Linked DNA regions of Bombyx mori. The protein of the gene in region 2 interacts with the protein of the main gene of each other region in a pairwise test. Links are inferred from orthologs where the notes say so. Each region holds a gene or a part of one and is shown on either strand. Other genes may lie near its edges.

Region 1 (3,761 bases), on a different chromosome or scaffold from region 2:
CCCTCCGCAGACCCAGAGGTTTCAAACGATCCGTGAGAATGAGTTTATCGACAAACCGAACGGCCCTTTTCTTGATGGGAGTCAAATGGAAGAAGCTGGTATTTCGGAGCCCCGGCCCAGGTATGAGAGCAGTACTCCACGCGAGGCCGGACTTGTGCTTTATAAAACAAAAGTCTTTGCTGTCCAGGCGTGAAGTACCGCTTCGCTCTGTTGAGGACTCCCAGGATTTTAATGCCAACTTGGCTTTGCCCAACAAATGACTCCGAAATTGGACATCGCTCGAAATGTCGACCCCAAGTATCCCGATACTCTAAGGTAAGTTGCAGGGATACTCCTTGGAATTGAGGCGTCATGATAAAGAGGTCCTTCTTTGCAGTGAACGCGCAAACTTGTGTTTTTAACGGGTTGACTTTCGGACTTTCATCCCATTCGGAGACTCGCCCCAGAAAGTTCTCCACTTCAGACACAAGTTTTGAACATCCCTCTTGCACCACGCTCCGAGAGAGACTCTGAGGCCGATATATCGCGTATCACCCGTGTTGATATCCGCATAGCGATGCATGCCGTCAATTGTCATTGATATACAGGATAAGCGTGGGGAGGGCCGGACATTGTGGAACGCCAGCGTTAATGGTCATGGTCAGAGCAGTCAACGTCTACAACGACCGTGATGCTCCGCTCACCCAAAAAGCTAGCGATCCACTTGCAGAGACCCTCGGGGATTCCGTAAGATGGTAGCTTCGACAGAATTGCCCTATGCCAGACCTACCAGAATCTACTATTATATCGTTTTTGATTCTCACTATCTGACAGTTGTCTGATCTATACTTTTGTAATTTTATTTAAGTGTACAATAAGGCATTATCTTATTCTTACTCTATGGCTGTAAGATTAGATAATTATCTGAATATTGGCAAACCATACTTTAAGTATTTTTTTGTTCAAGACCTTCTTAAGCTTCGAATCTAAGGGTTTCTTAACAATAAAAAATAAAATCCGGGTTCTGTAGGCTTTGTCTTGTATTATTGAACAGTAGTGTTCCTGAATAAGATATTTATTTACAAATGAATGTACAGATGAGAGAATTCCAAAAGAGCCAATATCAGTTTTCCAGGGGTGACATAAGCAAAAACTTATTTTGTATAAACAGGTCTAAAAATTGACCTCTATTAATGAACAGAAGTACTTATTTGAAATTTTCAAAATACTGTTTAAATTGTGTTATGTGTCACAACTTGTTATAAGAATGACTAATTGTACTTTGAAAAAACTCAACAAATTGATAAGAGTGTACAGGTCCATATCCTGGAGCAGTTAGATCTCCTTCAGAGGCACTCAGGCAGTTGTTAGCAAATTCCAGCTTTTGCTGAGCCTGTGCTTTCCCTTTCTTTGCAAGTTAGAGTATTTAAAGTAATTTGGCAATGGTAGTCTGAGGCATGAGTATGTTTTGTAAAAGAGGTTATCTTGCCCATTTTGTGAATTCCTGTTCCAGATGTTAGTGTAGTGTAGTGTAATTCCGCATAAACCTCATTCTCTGAGATTGGGGTAACAAACATTTATTTTGGGTTTAATGTTATATTCACTTTTATTTAAATATTTTAGATATTCTATGGACCTAACATATCACTACTTTACCTTGATCAGTCTTGGTAGCAGGCTTCCAATTTTCTGCACTAATGATGGGCAGGCACACCTGACCCTTTTCATCAATGTTAGGGTGGTAAATCTTTGTTTTGAAACTAATTTTCGGGGGTTTGAATGGGTATTCTGCTGGAAAGTTAATCTCAATGCGGAAAGCACCTTTGTTGTAAGGTGGGTTGTCCTAAAAGAGAATATTTAGTTATTAATTAAAAATATCACTTGGGGAGTGTATAACAGACAAGATCTTTTACCTATGACAACTAAATCAAAATGTTTGTTTTACATGATAAGATTCTTTTTATTAGATACATCTGACCATGAAAGACTACAAATACATACATTATCACACAAAATTGTTCTAGCACATAACTCATGACTCACCTAACATTATACAGATATTGAAATCCATACCTAAAAGTACACCCTGATAAAGGTTGAACTTGAACACTTGCATTACAATAATGGGATACCCCTTCTTTCTGATCAGAATACATGAGACAATAATTTTGAATAAATTTAATTGAAACAATAATTTACTGATATTGTTCTTTGTGTAAATATATTAAAATATCTATAAAAAAAAATTACAAATTCACTACTAAATCAATGGTTACTTACTGGAACAATTAGACCTTGCCATGTTAAGATGTTGGACTCATCAACCTGTATGTCTCTGAAAGACTTCAGGCCAGACTGTCTGATGTCATTAAGTTCCTAAAAAATATTATTGTGTAGTATTATGACAGTAATGGGAGAAAGTTGCTGAAAATATACTTTTTTTAAATTGTTCTCGTTGTAATAACTATTTTAGGTTTGTGACATTCTCTCGATTTGATTGATTTACTACATGAAGTGTTTAAGCAGATTTGACAATTCGTACAGCAACAAACTTTCGTAATTAACTTTTAGGTTAAATTTACGGGTAAAACTATACGTGGTTTAAATATATATTCGTCCCAAAGTATCAATGAAATACAAAATATATTTTTTACTTTTTGTAGTCTTCTCGTTGCAGCCATTGTACAAAATTTGCTAAAATGTCCCAAAATATTCCAAAGGTATTCTTTTTTAAAATTCAAATCGATTAATTGTCATTCCAATCAAACACCATAATTACGCAGCACAATAGAAATTAAGAAACTGAATTAACATGGAAAACGTCAATGAATTCAGTATTTTATCACAGAAAAACGGTGATCGGTGACTGTACTAAACTTTATTTAGTGTTGCCACCTATTTTTTTTAATTAAGGGGCTATGATGCAAACCGGTCTTTTAAAATAATATGATTGTTGATTGATTGTAACAAGAGTTAAAAGAGCACTAATAAAGTTATTAAAAATATATTTAATAAAGCTATTCCCTGTTTTCCAATTACAGCACAAGAGCGCATTATGCGGCATAATGCTCAACGTTGAATGTTTCAATGGTTAATGTTTCAATCGAGTCGGTATCGATTGCGAGTATCACGCTAGAGCATTACTTTTGGGAGTGCTCGATTGTGCGAAACGTTGCTGTAGTGGAAACATTCAACGTTGAGCATTATGCTGCATAATGCGCTCTTGTGCTGTAATTGGAAAACAGGGACTATATCCAACTAATAAATCAAAATTGTTCAATGCACTATTTTCTACAAACGCTTTATTAATGATGTTGGTTTGTAGCGATTGTATTTTCTGCGATCTACGTTGTATTACAGATTAATATATTATAACTGGTGCTGATAACGTACTGGTTACTACAGCTAATGCTCATTTCTTGTTAGTCTATGCTTCTCCCTACCTTTAACCGCCATTGACTTTTTGGCGGGAGCGCGAGGAGTAAAGTTGTGTGATTTGTTTTATTTTGTCTATTTAGTGTTTCTTCAGGTTTAAATGTGTAATAACGGTGGTTTATTATCTGTTTAATGTTTGTGAAAGTGCACAAATGTGGGAAAATGAAACAAAGCCTCTGGACGTAACTTCTCGGGATCCTCCAAAAAGGCTACTGAAAAAATCTCAGTAAATGACCACCATTTTACTAAGATAATGTTTCATCCCATATCATGTCATTTCATCCCAATTGGTTAATATCTCAAATTAATCATCTTCATTTCATTTCGTTTCACTACATATTATTATC
Region 2 (3,761 bases):
CCGGATGTTTTTAAGTTATGCTTAATAATACATATTTAACTGACTTCGACTATATTGATAACTAGCTTTTGCCCGTGACTTCGTCCGCGTGGAAGTTACTTTGGGCCACTTTGGGGTAACGCAAAATTTTACCCGCGACTTCATGTACGTTGAAGATGAAAATATTTTTGAATAATAGAATGTTAATGAGCTATTTAAGGTACCAAAATCACGCTTTTTAACCAACTTCAAATGAGATATATAAAAAGGTTATATTGAGCCAACCTTAAAATATAGACATATGCTGTCGCGGACTTTCTTGTTAGGACTTTTAAAAGGGAACAATTTTGTACTACATTATTTGAGCGAAACTTTAACCGTTTCCGCAGCGCACGCAGCGGAAGCCCTCAAAAGAAAAAAGAAACCGTTTTTTAAACATACTTTGTTAGTGCTCCGCTCGAATTGGTCTTAGCGTGATGTTATTTAACCTATAGCTTTCATCAATAATTGGCTATCTAACACTGAAAGACTTGTTCAAATCGGACCAGGAGTTCCTGAGATTAGAGTGTTCAACCAAACAAACATACAAACAAACTCTTCATTTTTGTCAAATACCAACATGATCTAAACTGAATTTTCCTGCTGTTTTTTTCGAGTGTTTGAACGTATTAAATGTATTGCAAAGAGGTTTGTAGAGCCTAGCTTAAAGACTAGTTCTAGTTGAAGTCAAAGGTACTAAGTGCTTAATAAAAATTCTGTCAATGAGCGACAATGATTCGATAAATCCTACTTATCACCAAGCTAAACAGATTGAACCCAAGGGTAGTAGATTTCAGGGGCTAGAAGCTTCAAAGCCCTATGGTTAAATTGTATTTCGTTTTGACGATAGATCACTGGCAAGCTCAACGTTTTGCAGCAGGATACCCTTTTATACTAATATTTGGAGGTCGGACCGGTTGATTACATTTTGCATGAACGTTGTCAGACCAAAGAAGAACCTGGTGGGATCCGTTATCAACCAATTTAAAGTACTATTTCCAAGGAATATCACAAAATTAATTGACGTAATGTTTCTCTCTGTATTAGATTTACTTATTGGGACAAATACCAAAATACAAAAATCTGGAGTGCTTATGTTCAGAGCACACTAGTTATTCCTTGCGCAGAATCATAAATAATACGATTGTTATATAAAACGCAGTGTTAAGTAAAGTACATTATATGGATATATACTTAGACTAGTAATTACAGTCTTTAAATCGCAGTTAGCAAAAATAAAATAGGTTTTACACAAAACAGGAAATGCTTATAGTACCTAATTTTACTGTACATAACTATTTCAATATTAAAACATCTAGAATAATGAAGTCAAACCGCTATTAATTTTAAACCTTAGATCATTAATTTATGGTCTAACACAAAATTTTATTTGTGAAAAAAAATCAGGTACCTACTTGAGAATAATTAGTTTGTTTGTATCTAGTTCCTTATAAAGTATTGTTCATCATTTTGACAAGTGGAAGATCAATTCAATTCGTAATTCGTAGAGTGTACTTGTATGATACAAATACGAATACATACTATATATAGTGTGTTATAGTGTTTTTAAAGGTAGAAGACCAAAACACATTATTTCGTAGTAAAAAAACATCGTAAGAACCAAACTACAAAATGTCTGCGGAGTCTGATATGGAATATTCTGACAATGACGGCGATGATTATGATTACTACGGTGAACACGAAGATTGTGATATGGAAGTAGCCGATCGCACTAAGTCAGATCCTGAGTATTTTGTGTTTTCTTGTCTGAAAGTTGAAGAAGTGGAAAAATTACTCAACGAATCTATTGAATTACTTAGTAACAGCCTTCAGATAACACCATCACTCGCCAAGGTATTCCCAATTTCAGTGTAAAGCATTCTTTACATATATAAAACGAGAATAATTGTTACTCATCATGTACACAAAGTCATAGTTCATAAAGTGGTTATTTTCACTACCAAACCAACCTTGACAATTGAACGAATATTAGACCACATTATATTATACCCCCTGCTGTGATTTTATTGCGTAGGTACCTTGAAAATTTCCTAAAGTTACTGATTTTGATTAATCCATTTTAAGGGTTTCTATGATACAAAATTGTAACAAATATGCTGATTTTCAGGTAGCACTACATGCATATGAATGGAATGCTCAAGAAATAATTAACAAATATAAAGAAAATGCAAATGAAGTGTTGGTTTTCAGTAGGGTGAAGCCACAAGTGCCTTCACAAAGTATATCAAGCAGATCAAGTTGTGCTGTTTGTGCCAGCACACCTCAACTGCACAAGTATAGTGCACTAGCATGTGGACATTATTTTTGCAACGACTGTTGGGCAATGCATTTTGAAGTTCAAATAATGCAAGGTGAGTTTTAAGATATAGCTAAAATCTGTTTTAAAATGTTTATTTTTAAGGGATTGTAGAGGATAGTAATCCTAGAACATAACATATTTGACAGATGCCTGAATCTTACTTACAAAATTTTCAAGAAAATCTTACTTAACCACGCTTGAAAGGCAAACGTGACTAAGCAACAATGCGTGAACTTTACAGTAGACTAATTTAAAGTTGAAATACCTCAAAACAAAATTTATTTTAACGAATCTAGCTAGTAGCTGTAGGATTGAAATGATTTTAATAGACCTAGAGATATATTTTTTTTGCGCTTCGAATATGGTTATTGCCTATCATTTATGTACAAAGCAGTTAATGTTGCTTAGTCATGTTTGCCTTTCAAGCATCAATATGTACAAATTCTAGACAATAATATTTTGACTGACGGTCTACTGGATAATTTCACCTACCATATGCAAGATCATCCTTATGTCATTCATTTCAAAGAATGTTGCAGTGTTACAAATGACATCTAATTTTATAGTACTTGGGATTTTGAAATAATAAACGAAAAATATAAAATAACTAATTTTTTTGTACTCCATTTTAAATTTTAGGAGTCTCAAATACAATACGCTGCATGGCTCAAAACTGTGAGGTCAGAGCGCCAGAGGATTTTGTTCTGTCACATGTTACTAAACCAGCATTAAGGGACCGATACCAACAATTCATGTTTAAAGATCATGTTAAATCTCACCCACAACTTAGATTCTGCCCTGGTCCTAACTGTCAGGTTTGTTCCATTATTTTATTGAAATCATTGGAATTTTGTGGACAACATTTTTTTATAAATCAAATTTTTTGGACTACGTATCTCATTGATTAATTGGAATGATAAAAAGTAATCCAAAATTAATACAAAAAAACCTTCTAATAATGTAAAACAATACAAGTACTCAAAATCACAAATTACAATACAGTTTTTATATTATTAATATTATTTGAGCATTTTATAATACAAAACAATAAAAATCTAACTTGCTTTCTATTTTTAGTATCCTAATTGAAATGAATTTGGCCCAAGAAAGATTGAAATAAAAAAAAAATTAATGAATATCTCTCAACAAAAATAATACAATAAAACATTTGATTTTTACATTTAGTGGATTTTTCGAGCATTCATTCGTGAAGGAGCACGCCGTGTTGAATGCAAAGGTTGTGAATCATTGACATGCTTCTCATGCGGGGCTCCTCATCATGCTCCTACTGACTGTGCTACAATTCGACAATGGTTAACCAAATGTGCTGATGACTCTGAAACTGCAAACTATATTAGTGCCCACACTAAGGTATGGAAATTTTAGAGATTAAGCAAGAGATTAAGAAAATTTGCCATATGCA

What was found. The genes of interacting proteins can lie anywhere in the genome.
Region 1: the proteins of potential E3 ubiquitin-protein ligase ariadne-2 (region 2) and UBE2L interact in a two-hybrid assay, tested with the Drosophila melanogaster proteins (2 studies listed by BioGRID). The link is inferred for Bombyx mori from reciprocal best matches to the Drosophila melanogaster genes ari-2 and Ubc10.

What each region holds. Positions count from the first base shown.
Region 1 is NC_085122.1:5,771,394-5,775,154, reverse strand, and holds the start of UBE2L (ubiquitin-conjugating enzyme E2L), read right to left. Parts: upstream 2,832-3,761; 5' UTR 2,661-2,831; coding exon 2,634-2,660; intron 2,356-2,633; coding exon 2,260-2,355; intron 1,823-2,259; coding exon 1,636-1,822; intron 1-1,635.
Region 2 is NC_085111.1:10,061,274-10,065,034, forward strand, and holds the start of potential E3 ubiquitin-protein ligase ariadne-2, read left to right. Parts: upstream 1-1,198; 5' UTR 1,199-1,425; exon of another isoform or gene 1,426-1,619; 5' UTR 1,620-1,650; coding exon 1,651-1,872; intron 1,873-2,146; coding exon 2,147-2,390; intron 2,391-2,977; coding exon 2,978-3,153; intron 3,154-3,523; coding exon 3,524-3,709; intron 3,710-3,761.